Linked DNA regions of Rattus norvegicus. The protein of the gene in region 3 interacts with the protein of the main gene of each other region in a pairwise test. Links are inferred from orthologs where the notes say so. Each region holds a gene or a part of one and is shown on either strand. Other genes may lie near its edges. The genes, in order: Pick1, Ube2i, Fmr1, Fsd2 and Nufip1.

Region 1 (3,583 bases), on a different chromosome or scaffold from region 3:
TACAAGCAAAGGAGCATTTCCATTTGGGACCCTGCCACCTCACATATTCCTTGCCCCTGTGTGGTCTCAAGATGGCCATCCCCTGTCCTAAGGGGCACTTCAGAGTAGGACTGCAGTATGTGCTACACACACACACAGCCAGGCAGACAAAACAAAAATGTCTGTCAACATCTCCCTTGCACCCCTGGGCTCCCCAGCCAGCCCCGTATGACCCAGACCAGTATCTGTTCTGCCTCCTTGCCCAAAGGCTTATTGTAAAACCAGAACAGGGAAGGGTTGAGAGTGCTTGATGACACTGGAAGGTCACAGTCAAGGTTTCAGGACCCAGACTCAAGCTGCAGCTCCCACTGTTCTCACAATGTCTGGTTCTGAGCAGGATGCTGCCCCGAGCCTCTGGACCCCAGAGCTGCTCCTATAGGCACTGCTAGAGGTGAGTGATGGACACAGAGGGAATTGCCTAAGCTTTGTGTCCCATCCTCCTGCATGACCCAGGAGGCAGCTGAGATTTGGCTACAAAGGGTCTGAGCCATTGCGAGGAGCCCATCCATTCTGTCTGGGTTTCTGTTTATTCAATACAGGCCCAGCTTCCAGCCCTTGAGGCTAAGCCAGAAACAAATAAATATAGGCTGCCGAGGTGTGCACATGGACTCAGGGGGCCGCCCTGGTACACTGGTCACAGCCTCGGATGTCCACCCAGCTCCCATTCCCTGCAGGCGTGGCACCACCGAGGTGCTCACAGGGACAGGGACAGGTCCTGTGCTCTGCCTGCTCCAGCCCCTTCTCTTTCTGTCCAAGGCCCAGCTCTCCCTCTAGCTGGGAGGTGGGAAGGAAGGATGGGGGCTAGAGTCCAGGTCCCAGGCTGCAGGCTGGGTTCACTGTTCAAGGACAGAGGAGCAGGGAGGCAGGCGCCCCGAGCCAGCAGGCTTTTATGCGCCACTATATGCCTTCGCTGTCCTACAGTGGCCCGGCCCCACTCCCACTGCGGTCCTCCCACTACCCTGCCCCCAGGTCCACTTGAGGGGGGCACTCAGGAGTCACACCAGCTTCTGCCCTTGTCTGTAGGCCCAGTGGCCCCACGTGCGTCCTTGGACACTTCCCTAGCTGCCCCGTCCTCCTCCTCCTCCTCCTCATCTTCGCCATCGGTAAAGCCGCCCTGGTTAGGGCCGTAGGCTAGAGTGGTGTGTGCCAGGTCCACCTCGATGGGGAAGACGTCGGCGTCCCGCAGCACCGCATAGCAGTCATTATAGTACTTGGACATGGTAGACACGAAGCGCTGCAGCTGGAACACGATGTCCTGGACTGGGGCAGGAGGTGAGCAGACAGGCCCAGTGACTATGACTGCTTCCTCTTAGGAAAGACCTGGAACTGGTTTGGCCTTCCTGTTGGGACACTTCCTGGGCCCCAGGCCTAAGAAGGGTAGAAAGGGGCGCAGCCAAAGGCTTCCTGGCCTGGCCCAATTGGCCACTTAAGTCCTCCAAACTCTTAGCTCAGGAAACAAAGGTTTCCTGAGTGAGCAGATCATGGACCCAAGCCCTGCCCCCAACCCAGCCAGGCTATAGGTGGGCTCCTGCCAGGGCCTAGTCTTGGGATCTCAGGGAGACTCTCTCTGGGCCTCATCTCGGATTTAGGGAGGGAATGGCACCCACCCTGGGGCTAAGTGCCAGCAAAGGACCTCCTAGGGTAGCATGGGCAACAGAGCCCCACACGCAGCCCTCACCGTGCTTCTGGTCCAGCAGCTCCATCTTCTCCAGCACATCCTTGCGCATCTGGGAGAAGCGGGCTCGAGCCTCCTGGCGGCAGCGCAGGATAAGGCGGTACTCATAGTTGCCTGTGCTCACTCGGTATAGCGGCTCTCCTAGGGCCTGGGGCAGGCAAGCTTGTCAGCGCCCTTGGGTGGACCTGGGCCTCCCAGGGACAGATGGGGCTGGAAGGCTGTAGGCTGGCCCAGCTCACAGCTATACCACAATGGGCTTTCAGATGCCAGTGATGGACAGAAGCTCAAAGCAGTAACTTTGGAGGGAGAAAAATCAACCACAGAAACACGAACACAGCTCACATGAAATAAATGAATATTGGTCAAAGGATGGACCCTGACTGCAAACACAACAAAACAGAAACAAATGAACAAAAACTAAAAAACAGCCAGGGCTGGAGAGTGGCTAAGAATAGTCACTGCTCTTGTAGCAGCCTGGGTTCAGTTACCAGTGCCCACAGGGTTCTGCCCAACTCTCTGTCGTTTTAGTTCCGACAACCCCTCTTCTGACCGTCACAGTCACCATACACACACACCAGGCAAAACACTCACACACACAATAAAGTAAATAAGCCCAACTCTTTTCTTTCTAAAATCAAAGCAGAGCTCAGAAGCAAGCTGTTAGCTTTTTCCCTCACAAACTTGGGGTACCTGACCTAAAGCAGATCCAGGAAATTACCTCATGGCCAACTAACTGGTACTCCGAGTCAGAGGAACTGGGAGAATAAGCTGATCGCCCCAAACTACAGTCCAGCTAAAGCCCCAGGATGCCTGCCATACCCACCACCTGTGACAGTCCCAGGCCTTCTGAGGCAGTTGGGGAAACGTGGGCACCCGAAGCCATCCTAACACCACCGCGGGCCCATCTGGTACTCACAATGCAGCTGTACTCCTCGTCGTCCATCTCCTTCACCTTCAGACAGTATGACTGTATGGGATGGGATGGGAGAGGCCAGGAAGTCAGCAGCCAAGCTTCCTGCACTCGTCCAAGTTTCCAGCTCCCCCTGCCATGCCTCCCTATGCCCTCAGCTCACACCGAGAGCAACCACATAGGCCACCAGGGTCAGGACCACCAGAGAAAGGCTGGAAGCATGGATGGAGGCCCTGTAAAGGGGCATCAGGGCTATGAGAACTCCTCTGGGAGGGTGCAAAGGCCTGAAGGCTTGAGAAATTCAAAAGCAATTAAGATTCAAGTCTCTGAGGACTGGAGGGTGTGGTTCAGAGGGACAGCACTGGCCTAGTATACATAAGGCCTAGGTAGGGTTCTATCTCAAGACCAAAACCCAAACCCACGGTACTGTGTGGTGGTGCTGGCTGGACAACAGGGCATGGCAGCCCCTTGAAGACATGCTGTGTATAGGCCTACAAGTCAAGACTCTAAGAAGAGCTAGAGCAAAAAGCCTGAACCCTCAACAGATCATTTTTTTAGCTCCTTTGAGCAACAGATCATCTAGGACTCAAAACATCCTTTTCCTAAACCCAGTCTGAGCTGCTGCTAGAAACCATAGAGAACTGGAGTGCGCCAGTGCTCCGGGCTGTAGGCAGTCTGGAGCTCCTTGGTGTGGACACAGAGTCTAGGCTCCCCTGATTCTCTAGTCAGGCCTTTAATCTCACAGGCCTGACTCAGCTCATGTCTGGGCCCAGCCTGCCTGCTGGCCTCAGGGCTGGCCTCCAGGGTGGGCTCACCTCAGCTGGCCAGACAGGGCAGTACACTCACCAAGTACTCAAACTTCACATCCAGGTACTTCTTGATGGTGAGGCGTGTATCAGGGATGGCCTTATTGAGGTACGTGTTCAGATCCGTCAGCATCTGGGAGGTTGGGACAAATG
Region 2 (3,852 bases), on a different chromosome or scaffold from region 3:
GGTTTGTAAATAGAGATTTGCCTGCTGCAGGGTCCCCCAGGAGTGCTTAAACATGGCTTATTGGGAACCACTGGATGGAATCTTACCTGCTGTTTGGGATTTTCTTGTCTGTCTGAGTTCTTTTTGCCGTACTGTTGGTGATTCATTCATTCTTTCTTTCTTTCTTTTTTCTTTTTTTTTTCTTTTTTCTTTTTTTCTTTTCTTTTTTTTTTTTTCGGAGCTGGGGACTGAACCCAGGGCCTTGCGCTTGCTAGGCAAGCGCTCTACCACTGAGCCAAATCCCCAACCCTGTGATTCATTCTTTTAATTGAGGGGTATGTATGTAGCTACGATTGAGACAGACAGAGTTGTTGGTCTCATTGCTCTCATGTGGTGGAATCTTGAGCAAATACAGTGAGACAAGAAGTCTCTCAAAACTGGCGAGGAAAACCAAGATGCAGCTGCTTAGGAGGAAAAAAGTGAACATGGAGAAATGGATCATGGCTCGTGGACGTTTGGAAACTGAGCTGTTGCAGGAGCACCAAATGCTGGGGAGGGGGAGTCTTGTGCTCCGGAGACCATGGGCATTTCTGAGAAGCCTGAGGTAGCCTCAGCAATTATGTGAGGTGACGATTATCCTAACGAGTCTGCAAGTGCCACAGGGTATCCCCATTAGTCGGGCAGGATCTGAATTGTGTATGGAGGTGCAAAGGGCAGGGGCAGTCAATTCCTTGAAGTTTCAGGAGCCTCGACATCCAAATGGAGACCCAGGATAAACAGAGTGCCTCAGCAGGGTAGACAGACCATTGTCACCAACTAGTTACCAAGATATGGTTAGATGTTGTGACATCTGTGCAAAGACAGGCCAGCAGACCATGAAGCAGAATGGATAGATAGTCCAGAAAAGCCAGGCCCATTCACAGCTGGGTATGGGATGAAACTGCTAGTGGGCAGGGGAAGCTCCTTTGCCATGGCCTATAGGTTCAGCTCAGCCTAGTGAATGGGGAGCAGGGCAGCTTTGGAGGAGACTCCAGAGGTTTGCTGATCTGGGGTGGAAGGCATTCATTCTTAGTCAGGGAAGTACAAGAGGTGTTGGCCTCTCTGACCCTGGAGTTAAGTCAGTCTTAAAAGTCACCAGCTAGTGAAAGAAATGCAAAGGAGCAGAATGCACCGTTTCCGGGCCCTTCTGGGCTACCAAGGAGGTGGGCTGAGGCAGCCAAGAGCTGGGAGGGAGACAAGCTCTTGGGCACTTGCTGTGGTGTGTGAAGGCCATTTCTCTGGAAGATCTCTGCTGTTGCCAGTAAAGCTAACCTGCCACTATTCTGTAGAACTAGCCAGGAGAATAAATGCCCACACATGTTCACAAAGACAAGGCAGGAATCCCATGGAAGCCTGGTTGGGGATTCCAGAAATCAGAGATGGTGCAGGTGTGTGTTAGTTGCAGCCTGGGAAGTGATTGAAAGTAAAGGGAAACAAGATGTAGCTTATAAACCCCTGGACAGCAAAATGGTGGGCTCTTAATATCTGATCCATGCCCCAAAGCATCTTCTGCTGCTGACTGAGGCTAAAAGCTTGGAGGGGCTGATGGGCTGACTAAGACTCAGATTCAGGTTATCACTGGTAGAAGTAAACATGGTTGGCAAGTAAGATCAAACTTGTGTTTGCAAAGTACAAGTTAAAGACCAGAATGGGGAAGGGTGCCTGCTGAAAAAGACTTGTGTTGAGAATCACTGATGAGTAAGGGGCTCGAGATAAGGCGAGCTTTAAAGCAGAAGTGTGGGCTCTGTATTGGAATACTAGCTGCTCTTCCAGTGAACCAAGGTTGGATCCTGACATCCCATGGCAGCTCACAACTGGCTATAACTCCTGTCTTAGGGGATTTGACACCCTTTTCTGGCTCCCATGGACTCTGCACACACATGATCCACAAACATACACACAGGTACAATATCTACATACATTAAAAACAAAAAGATTGTGTTGGGTTGGTGTGGAACAGGCTTTCCTGTGTGGCCGTGGCTGTCCTGGAGCCTGCTCTACAGACCAGACTGGCCTCCAACTCTCGATCTGCCTGCCTCTGCCTCCCAGGTGCTGGGATCAGAGGTGTGTGCCATTGCCCCTCGGTGGTTTTTTTTTTTTTTAAAGGTGGTTGCCAGCAGCAGTGTCTCTGTGGAGATGGGAATGGGAACCCCGAAGGCCTGGCCCAATAGTGAGACAGTTGATCTGAAGGAACTGATGAACCTTAGTTTGGGGTCACACCCTCCCATTTGCATATCATTGTGCCTGAGGCACAAGTCACTCAAGTCCCTCCTCACAGCTCGCTTGGAGAGGAATGCTGTAACCCACAGCATTCTAGCTGCACAGAGACACTGTGCAGAATAGTTAGGGAGTTTTCTATGAGCTTTTAACCTTAGTGTTGGCGTCCATTTTTGTCTCAGAGTTCAAGGCAGGACAGCCAGGGTTTCTACATAGAGAAAACTTTTTAAAAACCAAAGAAAGAAAGGAAAGAAGAAACAAACCTTCATTCCCTCCCCCAGAACAGCAGCAGTTGTAACTTTCCATACGAGTTCTGGGAATTAAGCCCTTTATCCGACCCCACCTCACCCTTGTTTTGTTGTTTGTTTTTTAAACAATATTTCACTAAGAAGCCCAGGCCGGCCTTCCACTCATAATCTTCTTGCCTAGCCTACAGAGCAGTTGGTATAGGTGTGTGCTGCTGCAATGCTCAGCCCATGTGTATATAGTACTAGGAACTCAGCCAAAGCCTTCTGTACCCCAGGGACGTGTGCTGCCACAGAGCTATCCCAAGACCCCTTCATTTGCTAAAAAAACAGGCAGCCTTTATTTAGACTTGCACTTTGGGGGGTTATACATGTTTGAAAATAAAGAGAAAAAGGTTTGCCTAGATCAGAGTGAGACACATTCTCAAATATCGGCTGTGAAATAGTACCTGAATGGAGCGGATATTTCTGCTATTGTAAAGACATGTGGTGTACTTGAAGCCTGTTCAGTGAAGTGCCCACCCCCTGAATAGGTCTTTGGGGAATGTGTTCTGGCCTCTTTCCTCTATTATGGACATGAGAGAAGAGCATAGGCTCAGCTCCCCAACTCCTGGCCATAGTCTCTTCTGGCTGCTTTAGGTTCCTCGAGGCAGAGTTGTCTGCTGTATCCAGGCTTAGCTCCTCTGAAGGGAAAGGTATATTCTCTTTCCGGCCCTTCTGCTATTGAGTTTCTGAGATTAGTTCTTTTATAAAGGAGCTCTAGTGTCAGAAGGGCAAGGGCAGCACGGGATGGGGACAGCATCTGCCTCCAAAAGTATTCCTTTCTCCCCCTGTCCTCCAGGTAAATTTGAGCCACCACTGTTTCATCCAAACGTGTATCCTTCTGGCACAGTGTGCCTGTCCATCCTGGAGGAAGACAAGGACTGGCGGCCAGCTATTACGATCAAACAGGTATGGAGTGGCAGCTGGCTACTCTGTTATGGGTTTGTCCTGTTCACAGTAGCCAAGGCTGTTTTTCATACCCCACAAGCCCCATCAATCTAAGTCATTAGATTAACTAAGCCCCTGTCTTAGTCAGGGTTTCTATTCCTGCACAAACATCATGACCAAGAAGCAAGTTGGAGAGGAAAGGGTGTATTCAGCTTACACTTCCACTTTGCTGTTCATCACCAAAGGAAGTCAGGACTGGAACTCACACAGGGCAGGAAGCAGGAACTGATGCAAGGCCATGGAGGAATGTATCTTACTGGCTTGCTCAGCTTACTCCCCCCACCCCCTTTTCTTTTTTTTTTCGGAGCTGGGGACCGAACCCAGGGCCTAGCTCTACCACTGAGCTAAATCCCCAACCCCTCAGCTTGCTCTCTTATAGAAC
Region 3 (4,381 bases):
AAAAGTAGTCACAAGGGGGTTGATGGAAAGGAGGTATGGGATGGGGAACAGTGTGGGGCTTTGGGGGTGGAGAAGACAGGGAGGTCAATAAAGTCTAACTGTCCAAAAAGAATTAAAGAATAAAAATTTTTAAAAATTAAAAAAAGTAGTCACAAATCTAATAGTTTTAAAAATTAAACAATAAAAGAAAAAATCCAAATCAGAACTGGTTGGCTCTTACCATGCCAGAAGCATGATTTGTGAATCTGAAATCTTCAATTTATTGATGTTTTAGAGAAAGAATCAAATCATTCCTAATATGTGTTCTATATAGTTATTCTGCAAACTTAATGTGCTCAGGGAATGTACAACTACCCTTTACAATACAGTAGTTCTAGTAAGCAAATCAAAAGCTGAATTCAATTATACTGAATTTGACTTACTTCGCTTTAAATTTTTACTTCTACCAATTTAATGAACAGGGTTCCCAGTGTTTCCATAATGGTCTTTACTTCTCATCTTTGTCATCAATCTCACCAGAAAAGGACTCAGCATGCTTCCACTTTATTTTCTCCTGTTCACAGTCAATATTCTAAGTGATGTAAAATTTAAACTTCTTTCAGTATAGCCAGTACCCTTCCTTTAATATAGACCAGTTGAAACTTAAAAAAAAACCAAAAAACAAAAATAAACTTAAACACAATAGCAATTCTTCAACACACACTTTAAAAGAGTACTACATGTCCCCTCAGGGAATCAAAGGATAATTCAAAGTCTATTCATTTTCGTTCATCTTCAAATTAAGAAGTTGTTGAAAAACAAAGCCAAGAAAAAAGCAAGGGGATTAATAGTGGAAACAGTGCACTTTTTAAAAAATATTCCAGTCAGTTTGCAAGCAAAATTACTGGGGCCAATAAATCCTTCAAGAGTAGGATGCACTACTTGCCCTCAATGGCAAGCCAACTTCATTAAAAGCAACTAACAGTGGACTCAAATCTAAGCTGGTATTAGAGATGAACAAAAATACTACTTAACTATTATCCCTTGCTCATCTGTGTCTCAGTGCCCCAACTCTAGCAATTAAAACTGTCATTCTAGAAACTAGAAACCTTCTAATGCAAAATAACCAAAACTAGAAACCTTCTAATGCAAAATAACCAAAACTAACTGGAACATTTTTTTATTACAGCAAATTGAAAAAACTGCACTGATAGAATTAGCAACAAAAATGCTGCATTCTTTCTGTCTCCCATGCTACAACAAAAGGGTATTTTTAGTATAAATTAGTATTTTACAAATTTCCCTCATTCATGAAATTTATCTTCCACTAAATGTCTCCATAGACTTGATAAAAGCATAATTTATCTTCTACTAAATGTCTCCATAGACTTGATAAAAGCATAATTTACAAAAGTCACTTTCCTGAGCTTAGCCTAGTACGTCCCATTTGAAATGCTCAAGTTCTTCTACAATAAACTTAAAACGGTTGGACAATGGCAAAAGCTATTTTCCATGCTTCCTTCCACGTGCAGCTTCTGTTACTAAAATATTCTACTGAGGTGGGGCCTTACAGAGCTTGTAAACATTAAAAAAAGAGACTTTATAATATTGCTAGATCTACATCTATGCAGTATCAGGAATCATACCACATTACATGTATTTTAAGGTTCCTTTAAAAAAATATACGTTATCTGATATTCAATGGTATAAAAAAAACCCCTCAGTAGTTCCATGAATGCTTATTTAAAACCTCAAGAACATAGCCCACTGCAACACCGCAAAAGTCAAAGCGAATATACTCAAGTTTATGCACTTCAGAGCACAAAACAAACATTCCAAACCGTCCTGGTAAAAATTCAGTAGCAATCAGACAGTCCCCGTTAATTTCCTGAAGTTCTGTGGCACAAATTCGGGTCCTTGAGAACTTAAACACAAAGGAAAATTTAAAATAAGCAGACTTGGTAATATTTTTAGAAGTCGCGACATGTTTATCCCTGAATTTCCCCCAGTTACAGAGGGTAGGAGGCCATGGATATCAGCTTTGGCTAGCGTTTTAAATGGCTCTCTCAGATGTCATGGTCTTTCAGAAACTTTTAGGTCTAAAACCCTCCTTCGAAATTCACAAAGAGGCCACTAAAGAGCAGTTGCCATTGTGATTCCGGACTGCCAAGGGCTTCTTAGAACTCGCTCCACTCCGCTCGCCCAGAACAGGGGAGCTCTCCAAAGTCTGGACTGTGGGCCGACAACCCGGAGCCCAAGACTCCGAACCGCCGTCCGGCAGGGCAGGAGGCGGCGGGGCTGAGGCGCCCCCGGTTCCCTCACGGCTCCCCGCGTGTCAGGCCCCGAACCCACTAGGAGAGGATTATTTGGGAAAGCAGGACTAAGCCGCTGCCGCCACTTCACGCGGCACCGGCCCTATGGCCAGATCTACTGTCCTCGCATTCCCGCTTCCCTGACTGAACTCGGCCGCTCAACCACCCTCAGCTCCCGCGCTCCTTTCGCGTTCCGCCGGGCGCCGGGGCCTCAGGCGGGAGTCAGAGCGCTGAGGCGGGCTCTAGGCCCTGAGTCCGCCGCTCCCTCACGACCTACCGCCCGCCGCTCCCGCCGCGCCCGAGGGGCCCGCCCGCCGCCCGGGACACAAGGGAGGGAGGGAGGCCGAGGACCCGGCCTGTCCGGTAGCCCGTTACCTTGTAGAAAGCGCCATTGGAGCCCCGCACTTCCACCACCAGCTCCTCCATCTTCTCGTCCTTCCTCGCGCCGGGAGCCCGCCTCCGAGAGGTGGGCTGCAGGCGCTCGAGGCCCAGCCGTCGCCGCCGCCGCCGCGTTACCGCACGCCCCCCGGCAGCGGCGCCGCCGTCACTGACACCGCCCGCGCTCGCCGTCCGTTGGCTTCACTGCCCGCCCTCTCAGGCGCGGCCCCTCACCGGAAGTGAAACCGAAACGCTCCCCAGCGCAAGACTGACTGAGGCCGAGGGCTCTGCCGCGCCTCCTGTAAACAGTCAAACGACACCACGTGACCCTGGCGGCCCCTCCCCCATGGGCTCCGCCCCCTTCGCTCCGCCCTCTCTCTTGGGCAGCTGAGCACGCGCATGCGCCGTCGTGGGTACCTGCCTTGGGGTAACTGGGCAGATACTTTGGCGCGCGCGCTGGGTGAACGGCGGGAAAGCGCAAAGGGTAGTAACAGGTCGTGCTGCCTATGGCCAGCCGTGGGGACTAGAGGCCTTTTTTGTACAGGAGGAAGCGAGGACGTGGGAAAAGGCCTCCAGTTTTTGAAAATGGGGCCCAACCAGAAGTGGAGGGGCTTTGGGTACATTTTTCACTGCGCTGGCGTGGGACCTGATTGAACTGGAAGTCGCGGCGGGAGGGGAAGTTAAAGTGATAACTTCGATTGGAGAACACTTTGATGTAGGAACAGTTATAACTACACTGACCCTGACTTCTGGGACTTTTATGGCCAGAGTGCAAAATAAATCGCTATACTACCTAGCGATTTGGGGAAGCATTGTGGGAACTTTTGAGTACTTTTTAAGGGCCAATGGAGTGTGCCAGACCTTCAGGAAATGTTAGCCCTTTCTCAGACAATGCTGTCCCGCACACTTTCCTTTCATACTTTTACTTGGATTTCGTAATAAAGAGAGCTCACTGAAAGAGGGAGAGACAATGAATGTGTTAAACAGTTGTTAATTTCCTTACAGTTGGCTTTTGCCTCTTCTATGTGCACCCTATACCAGAGAGAGGGCATCAGGAAAGCAGTCATGGAACCTGTCTATGCACATCATTGTGTCCACTCCATGCAGCTCTTTTCCTGTGCCTTCCACAGCAGAACCAAGTCTAGCCTTTCACACCTCCTCCCCCTTGGCCTCTCTACTGGGCTCCTATCCAGCCTGACCCATGCTCCCTTAATCCAGAAGGCTTGCATCCAACTGAGAAGTTCATTAAATGCCTACCATGTGCCAAGCACCATACTAAGTACTAGTGAATCCTTGGTGAGGTAGCAATAAAAAGACTGTCATTGTTGACATTGGAACCTACAGGAGTAGATGGGCAAAATTCAACCTCTCAAGACTATACATATGGGACTGGAGAAGTGGCTGGCTGTAGTGGGTAAAGCATTTGCTATGCGAGCATGAAATTCTGAATTTTTGAATTCTTAGAATTCATATAAAGCTTGGCTTAAGTGCCTAAATAATCACTCCCCCAAAGTTGATTCTCCAGAAGTTCACAGTTCAGTGTGACTTATCCAGCTTCGAACAACAAAAAGACTGTCTCTGGGTAGAAGGCAAGGACTGCATTGGAAGAAGTTGTCCTTCGACCTCCACACATATCCTGTGGCATTTGTGTGCGGATACTCTCACACATGGATTCATATACACCCATACACACATGAAGAAACATATAAATC
Region 4 (4,564 bases), on a different chromosome or scaffold from region 3:
GAGCATTTCGGATCTGCTCTACCGCTCAGCTGTTTGGCAATTTGTGTGGGTTTTCATCTCACTTTTGAGTAAGAGACTGAGAATCTGGACACACTTGGCCCAGGATGCAGCCACCAGTTTTGGAATTCTACGGTCTCGATGGTCTTGTCGGAAAGCTTGCAAAGTGGCTAGGTTAAAAGAGACCATACAGATGCTTCTTTGTATGACCCGCGCACAGCTAGAAGTGTGTCTGTGTTGGAGGAACGATAACCAGACGGAGTGGGGAGCGTGAAACATGAAGACCTGTTTGACAAGTAACTGCTGTCGGGCGTGTGGACAAGAGGGACTCTGCACACGCCACTTTTCGGATGTAAATTGGTCCCCACACCATGGACACTCAGTACACAGTTTCCTAAAAAGCTGAAAATACACTTCCCATCTGGCCCAAGTCAGCCTGCCACGGACATCGAACATCCGTGCTATCCACATTAGCTAAGTTATGGAACTAACCGAGGTGTCCATCACAGAGGGACGGGTAAAGAAATGTCTACATACTCAATGGAACTGTTTGCAGGAAAATGAATGCTGCTAGAGAAAATATAATTAAGGTAGCCTCAGAAGACAAATATACATTCTCTCTCAGTTGTTGCTCCTGAATCTCACATAGATTCATAAAATTATGTATGTACAAAGGTCATGAAACTGTCTAGGGAACAGAGAGTACTAAGAGGAGAAGAACGGGGGAGATAAAAGAGGGAAGTGGATTTGGAGGAGTATGCTCAACACACATTATATACACGTGTGAAAATGTCCTTGCTTTGCATAATACCATATAAAATGGATATAAACAATAAACATTTTCAAAGGGGGAAAACTGTGATATGATGGGTACCACCCCACCACACACAGACAATTAAAAACTCCAGAGAGCAAGGAAACACTATGCCTGCTTATACAGCAGGACATCAGACAGCACCCAGGGGAGTCTCAGAGTGAGCCCCAAAGCAAGCATGGAAACCTGAATTAGGGTATCCAGCGCCTGTGTAAAAGGTCAGGTCAGCAGTGAGCGCATGTAGGTCAGCAGTGCAGCAGTGAGCGTAGGTAGTTTGTATGTAAGTGCAGCTGTGAGCATATGTAGTTCATATGTAGGTCAGCAGTGAGTGAATGTAGTTCCGACAGTGTAGCAGTGAGCTTGTGTGGCTCTAACACTGAGGACTGAGACAGGGGGATCTCCAGGTCTTTCAGGCCAGCTAGACTAGCAAAGCTACAGAACTCCAAATCCAGTCTCAAAAATGGGGTACAGAATGGCTGAGGAAGAAACCCAAACTTGACCTCTGGCCTTCACATGCAAGTGCATGTGCATATGTACTTGCAAACACGGATGCACAGAAACACACATACCCACCCCATCCCACCCCAACTCCCAGGACAGAAGGAAACTGTTCACTTCACCATCTGGATGGTGCCACCATGGTGTCATCACTGTTAGAACAAAACAAAACAGCAACAACGAAAATTAAACCCCATGCAATTGGTACTTTGATTGGAAAGTTTCTGTTTTACTTATTCATGTAATAAACATTTATAAATCTGGGTAGTATGGGCACACACCTTTAACCCCAGCAGGTAGAAGACAGAGGCAGGTGGATCTCCAAATCTGAGGTCAGTCTGGATTACAGAGAGAGTTCGAGAACAGCCAGGGATACACAGAGAAACCTTGTTTCAAGAAATCAAACCAACCAACAAAGTAACCAACCAAACAACAGCAAACACACACACACACACACACACACACACACACACACACACACACACACACACACCAGCCTCTCCCACGTAGAGGACAGAGTAGGGGGATGAAGGCAAGTGACAGTCACCTCTGTAGTTGCCCAGGGGCAGTGAAGTTCAGTGGATAGCTGAGGGGAGGGGCGGGCTCTCACATTCCAAGACATGGCTTCTGTAGCTCACTGGGAGCAGCTGCCTGAAGGAAGCTACTTGTGGAGAGATCACCACACTCGGCCTTACCTCCACAGTGATGAACACTTCTTCCAGGTGGCTAGCGAAATTTTCCATCTCAATAATCTGCTGTTCCAATTTGCACATATTTTTGTGAATTTCATCCTGTGGAGGTGAGCAGAACGAATAAAGTATCAACGATAAGCTTATTCTATCTTTTTTAAATTAAAAAAAAAAAAAACATGTGCACCGATGTTTGCCTGTGTGTGTGTGTGTATCTGTACGCCACGTTGTGTTCTTAGTGACCACAGAGCCTAGGGGAGGACATCGGGGTCCCTGGGACTGCTGTTACAGATGGCTGTGAGTCACCATGCGGATGCTGGGAACTGAACCCAAGACTTCTGCAAAGCAGCCAGTGCTCTTAATGCTGAACCATCTCTCCAGGCTACCATTTCATCCTTGGAGGCATGAAGGACTGAACCTCTGCCCACCTCCCCGAGACACACATGCACTCTCCAGCGGAAGATGTAAGATCTGTTACCTTGGCGTGTTCCAGAGCCTTGTTGATTGGGGTTACTTCGTGTTCCTTGTGTATATCAAAATCCTTCTCAACAGTTCTCACTGGAGTTTTGCAAGTGACACAGAAGACATCAGCAGGCTCTTCCTCATCTTCCTCCTCTGGGATGACGTAGCATTCATATTCCTCGCTGGCGCGGCCATGTGTGTACCTGTAGGCTTCCCGAAGGTCTTGGCATTGGTCAGGAGGGCCTTGAACTCCGTAGCACAGGTCCTCGGCCTCAGCTGCCTCACCACTAAGCCCCCAGTCTCTCTGCTCCCTGCCTGGATCCCTCCTCCTCATCCCGTACGGATACCCCAGAGTCCCCAATCTGTGTTCATCCACAAATTCACCCCCTAACTCATGTTCATCTTCAAGCCCGTATAAATGGACAAGCGCGTCCACTTCCTTCTGGAGATTCTTACTGTCCCCTGCCCCTCTTGGCTCATTGGTCAGTTCAGCCTGGGTTACTTCCCTCCGGGTTCTGCTGCTTTCTCCTGGGAAGAGCTGCAGTCTATCTTCAGAGTCATACAGGTCCATGTGATAAAAGTGGAAGTCTCTGGGGGCTGTTGATCTCCCCAGCCCCGGCTCCTCCCCTGCTTCCTCCTCCATTGACACAGAACAGCCCTTCCTAGTCAGTCAGTGGGTATTCTGAGACCTAGGACACAGAAGAAGTGAACGTCAGTTCCCAAGAAGAGAATTGCAGAGTCTGCGCACGAGATTCCATAGTTCCAGATTTTATCCAAGAAGTCAACGGTCACAGTCTACATCATGGCAAGCAAATTCACTGAATTGTCCCAGCCGTAGCTGACTCACAATTGCTCAACAGAAACACATGGAGACCCTCCCTAGAGACCTAAGGCTGGCTGGCGAGCTGGAGACACTGCTATAGAAAGGTGTATTAGGAGCATCACCCCTACCTAGGGTCACCGCATGACCTCTTTGCCATTCACAGCTCTCACGAACCATGCAAGATCATAAATATTGGTTATTTTAGGTTATCAAGCTGTGGAATAATTTGTTATGAAAGAACAGTTTGAATGAGGCCAGCGTAAAACTAAGCCTCCTCCCCCCTGCTACCATCTGCCCCTCCTTGTTCATAGTCAGGCTCCTTCAAAGGACGGCATTGATAATGCTGATTTCCACACCGTGACACGTGTGCACGGGGCTTTCCATGGGGAATCCAGGCACTGGGTATGAAGAGTTAGCGTTCAGATACAGTCTCAGGTTTGCATTTGGCCTTTCTCAGAGCTGCTTCGCCTGGGAACAAGGCAGCCTCTGAGGTCCTTTCTTCTCAACAGCCCTTCGCTTATCAGAAAAGCAAAAATATATTTCCTGTTCATTCTGAATATTACATTGCACAGTAAGATTTCATTGCTTGGGAATTTAATAAAGCCTCCAGGGGACTGGATGAAAGGATAGCCTGGAGGATTGGCATCAATGCCAAGAGTGAGTGACATTAATGAATGAGAAAGAAAGGATCTTTTTTTCAAGGTAAGTGCTTTCCAGCTCTTTGCTTCTAACAAAATTGCAAGAGGATCTAATCAAGTTGTCAGCTGATATATTATTTGAAATAAATGTTCATGATAGGTCATTATATAATTTCGGCGTACATTTCAGAAGGAGCTGAAAGAATGGAATGTTATAACCACCTCCATTCCCATCTACCTACACAGGTGAGCACGGTCACTCAGTTTGCCTGGACAAACTGAAAAACAAAATACGAACTCACTCATTCCTGTTGCATTCTAGATCCTGTAATTTCCACTCCTGGGTTGAGTTGAGCCTTTTTCTTTTTTTAAATAAACAAAGTCCTGTCCACTTCATCAAATGATGCATTTTGGGGCTGGAGAGATGGCCCAGTCAGTAAAGAAGCTGTCTCACAAGCCCAGGGACTGGAGTTCAGATCATGAACAGTTACATAAGCCAGGTGCAGGTGCATGTGTCTGAACCCAACACAGAGGTGAGGAAGTGACAGAGACAGGCAGACCCCTGGAGTTTATTGATTGGCTAGCCTAACCCAATCAATGAGCTCCGGGCTCAGTAACAGTCTCTGTCTTAAAAAAATACAGG
Region 5 (3,852 bases), on a different chromosome or scaffold from region 3:
CCTCAGAGTAAGAACGTGCTTGGTGTCAGCTGCCATGAGAAGCATTGGACTGTGCTACCTCAGTGTCAGCACCACCGACCACTGCAACAACTACATTCCAAAACCGAGCTGCTGCCCAAGGGTAAGGGGACAGCTTCAAAACAGGTGAACAGGCCAGCCACGGCGACACACACAGGCTCAAATGCTCTAACGCAGGAGGAACACCCAGGTATGAAGCCACTCTGGGCTACACAGCAAGAGCCGGCCTTAAAGGAAAGTCTGCCTTTTCTTGGTCTTATCAAACATTAAAAAAGAGCTTTTACTTTATTTTTATTTGGAGTGGGTCTCTGTACACACCAAACAAGCGCTCCTCCATTGAACTACAAGGATAGTCAGAAGGGGTCTGCCTAAACTCCTTCCCACATCTTCAGCTCCTATACTCACAACACTTATCAGACAAACTCAGACCTTACATTTAGATACATGCACAGTATTAGAGTCAGACCCCTCACTCAGCTCAAGTTCTGGTTCTGCAGCAGCTATCAGTGCGACTAAAGTAACCTGCTTGGTCTCTGCAGTCTTGTCTCTAAATGGCAATCAGAATACCACCTACAGAAAAGAGGTAATACACACCAAGCACAGGGAGCACAGCAAGGTCCTTACTCGGTAACTATTAGTTGTGCTTAGTTTATTACCACTCCTTCTAAATCTTATCGAACTGTACCCAACCCAACACTCCACCGTTCCCAGATCCCTCTGCATCCAATCCACCGCAATGCACACAAGTGTGTATACGTCATCTCCCATTCAGCTTACCAGAGTCGCTGTGGATCAATACACCAAGAGGGTCTACATTAACCTTGGTCGGAATTTCAGGCTTCAAATCTCTGGCACGATTGCCTAGTCCAAGGACTGCTCTCTGTCTAGCCCCACCGCTTTTCCATTTATAATGTTTACCAGGACTCCTGATCTTTGCCATCTGTGAATGTCTGGACATGCCCTTCATTTTGCTGGAGTAAGAAAAAAAAGGAGCAAAAGAAATATGGATGTTAAATTGAGCCCTTAAGCCCTAAGACATTAAAGAGACCAAAATAAAGAACTACACAAAGGCTAAAGGTCCACACCCTACACCCTAAGTCTTAATCAGTTCTAGCTGCAGTCCCCACAAGTGTTTTGAGCCCTGACACAGGGCTCTGTTGTGTCATCACTGGCAGACCTCACCGTGTGGCATTTTCATACTATACATCAGCATCTATCTTAAGAGTTTACAAAACACACCCACTCTTATTTAATTAAAAAGTTACATCCCCAGCTCCGAAAAAAAATTTTTTTTACTCATTTTAAGGGAGCTTCTAGGTTTGCAAAGCATTTATAAGAATGTCACCTTCGGGGCTGGGGATTTAGCTCAGTGGTAGAGCGCTTACCTAGGAAGCGCAAGGCCCTGGGTTCGGTCCCCAGCTCCGAAAAAAAGAACCAAAAAAAAAAAAAAAAAAAAAAAAAAAAAAGAATGTCACCTTCACCAGATCCTCTCTTTGAATAAACATTCTGTAAAGTCCTCTGAGCAGAAGGAAAATGCCTGATAGATTTATACAACAAAGAACACCTAAGAGTTAGCATCTAGGGATCATAGCCATTACCCACCTGGTCCTCAACTGTGTCTGAGCTTTGTCACCACAACAGATGTTCCCAACACCATTCTGACCCCAAATGCCAGTGGCAAGTACTTCCTGTTGTATCTTTTTTAAAAGGACAGCATTTAAAAGCAACGGCAAGGAAAATTAAGAGGTGCATCCTTAATGTATGCAACCAAACATTAACTCTTGGAAATCAAGGGCGGTAAGCCCTTTGAAGCTGGAGAGGTGTACAGCATCCCTTCCAGAACTGGAGTTCAGTTCTCAGTATCAACACTGGGTGGTTCACAATTCCCTAGAACTCTAACTCCTGAGATCTTACACCCTCCTACAGCCTCTACAGACATTGCACTTAAGCGCACAACTCAGCACCCCTCTCACACACATAATTAGAAAAAATATAAGATGCTTGATATTGCTAGTAACTGAGAGACAGAGAGATCACATGCAATGAGAAGTCCAAATCAGTCCAACCATTTGGCCAACTATTAAAGCTAATCATATAGATAACCTATGACATACCATCTGTCTCATGAAAAAAAAAAAATGAACATTAATGTCCACAAAAGACATGTACAAAAATGTCTATATGTAGCATGCATGTATCTCAAAAAATATCACATTTACCCAAGAATATATATATAGTGTATGGTTTCATTTACATAATTGTAAGGACAGGAATAATTTATAATAATTAAAAACCAAAACAATGTTACTGTTTATGGGGTACACTGAACAGGATAGTGCTTAAGGGAGCTGGGTGACGGGGGCTGGGGATTTAGCTCAGTGGTAGAGCGCTTACCTAGGAAGCGCAAGGCCCTGGGTTCGGTCCCCAGCTCCGAAAAAAAAAAAAAAAAAAAGAAAAAAAAAAAAAAAGGGAGCTGGGTGAACAAGGACATTCTGTATGTCAATCTATGTGGTAGGGGTAGGGGTGTGTGTGTGTGTGTGTGTGTGTGAGAGAGAGAGAGAGAGAGACAGCGAGAGAGAGAGAACACGGGCATTCATCGTGCAATGCACTTAGGATTTGTATATTTAAACTGTTAGGTTAGTAAAATAAAATAAAAAAATTCTGAACAAGAAAGTGAGTGGAGGGAAAGGAGACCTTGAGTATTACTGACAGGAGAGACAGGAGAGACAGGAGAGCATGGCCGCTGTACGACAGATCTATTTTTATTAATAAGCAACTATCTAACTGCTTGAATGACAAGGGAATTGACTGAAATAATCCTGTGGGCCCTTCTTGATTACATTTCCTACACATCCAAGCAAGAGTTTGCTTGTCTGAAGAAGCACAGGGCAGTGTGGCCCACGGTAGAGACACTGCTATCATTCCTATGCTGACTAGCAGGGCAACAAGGAAGGAAAGGACTGTTCAAACCCTATCACATGTGTAGATACCCTCTAGGTATTGGTACTTAAGATACAATTTAAACAATTGCTAAAGCAAAAGGTACAGAGCGAGATTTCAGAATGGCAGCAGAGGGATGTGAGGAGACTGGGATGCTCCCTCTCTTCCCCAGAAGCTCATGCTTTTGAAGGAGCACAGAGGATGCACAGGGACAGCGTCAAAGAACTCACCCGTACTGTGTGGTTGTCAACACTTCTCCTCTCTTTTCCTTTTCCAGCTGTAACAGCTTCTTCCTTTCAATATTGGCCAGAGTTGGGTAGTTTCTAGAAGAAAAAATTAAAACTTATCACAAACATCCAACTACTTCTAAAATCTAAGAGAGAAAATGCAGTTCACGCATCAGTGTCTCAGCTGTCCACACAATTCTGTACCCAGGTAAGGAGTGTGTGCTAGAATTTCAACTGCTCTAACATCTCTGCTTAGCATGCACTGATGCAGAGAGAAACAACCTGCCTAGCCAATTACTTCTGCAGAAACACGCCATGCACACACAGTCACCAAGGTAAGAGACAACCCTCAAACAACAGTCTACTATGGAGGACACTGAGAGCCTAAGAACAGCTGTACCTGAGACAGAACAGTGAACACCCAGCAGAGGACACGTTTCCTTTGCGTGGGGTGAGATATTTCCAGGGGGAAAGCTCTGGAGTTTGTTCTAAGTAAGCTAAGTAATACAAACGACTCAAGATCACAGAGTGGCCACTATCACAGGGATTTACTTCACATGAAACATAACTTAACTATAGGGAACTGAATTACCACAGGAGGCTCAACCCGAAATGTTGTACTCAATCCAGCAGGTGACAGCAAACTATGGAAAAATTCTAGAGAGCT

What was found.
Region 1: the proteins of Fmr1 (region 3) and Pick1 interact in a two-hybrid assay, tested with the Homo sapiens proteins (2 studies listed by BioGRID and IntAct). The link is inferred for Rattus norvegicus from reciprocal best matches to the Homo sapiens genes FMR1 and PICK1.
Region 2: the proteins of Fmr1 (region 3) and Ube2i interact in a two-hybrid assay, tested with the Homo sapiens proteins (2 studies listed by BioGRID and IntAct). The link is inferred for Rattus norvegicus from reciprocal best matches to the Homo sapiens genes FMR1 and UBE2I.
Region 4: the proteins of Fmr1 (region 3) and Fsd2 interact in binary tests that used the Homo sapiens proteins (3 or more experiments, as listed by UniProt). The link is inferred for Rattus norvegicus from reciprocal best matches to the Homo sapiens genes FMR1 and FSD2.
Region 5: the proteins of Fmr1 (region 3) and Nufip1 interact in a two-hybrid assay, tested with the Homo sapiens proteins (2 studies listed by BioGRID). The link is inferred for Rattus norvegicus from reciprocal best matches to the Homo sapiens genes FMR1 and NUFIP1.

What each region holds. Positions count from the first base shown.
Region 1 is NC_086025.1:112,694,224-112,697,806, reverse strand, and holds the end of Pick1 (PRKCA-binding protein), read right to left. Parts: intron 3,564-3,583; coding exon 3,471-3,563; intron 2,682-3,470; coding exon 2,631-2,681; intron 1,863-2,630; coding exon 1,718-1,862; intron 1,300-1,717; coding exon 1,028-1,299; 3' UTR 532-1,027; downstream 1-531. UniProt on the Homo sapiens protein: Probable adapter protein that bind to and organize the subcellular localization of a variety of membrane proteins containing some PDZ recognition sequence.
Region 2 is NC_086028.1:14,788,213-14,792,064, reverse strand, and holds part of Ube2i (SUMO-conjugating enzyme UBC9), read left to right. Parts: intron 1-3,321; coding exon 3,322-3,431; intron 3,432-3,852. UniProt on the Homo sapiens protein: Accepts the ubiquitin-like proteins SUMO1, SUMO2, SUMO3, SUMO4 and SUMO1P1/SUMO5 from the UBLE1A-UBLE1B E1 complex and catalyzes their covalent attachment to other proteins with the help of an E3 ligase such as RANBP2, CBX4 and ZNF451.
Region 3 is NC_086039.1:152,283,447-152,287,827, reverse strand, and holds the start of Fmr1 (fragile X messenger ribonucleoprotein 1), read right to left. Parts: upstream 2,899-4,381; 5' UTR 2,718-2,898; coding exon 2,667-2,717; intron 1,904-2,666; exon of another isoform or gene 423-1,903; intron 1-422.
Region 4 is NC_086019.1:144,923,062-144,927,625, forward strand, and holds the start of Fsd2 (fibronectin type III and SPRY domain-containing protein 2), read right to left. Parts: upstream 3,104-4,564; coding exon 2,477-3,103; intron 2,101-2,476; coding exon 2,005-2,100; intron 1-2,004.
Region 5 is NC_086033.1:57,852,033-57,855,884, reverse strand, and holds part of Nufip1 (FMR1-interacting protein NUFIP1), read right to left. Parts: intron 3,282-3,852; coding exon 3,189-3,281; intron 990-3,188; coding exon 796-989; intron 1-795. UniProt on the Homo sapiens protein: Binds RNA.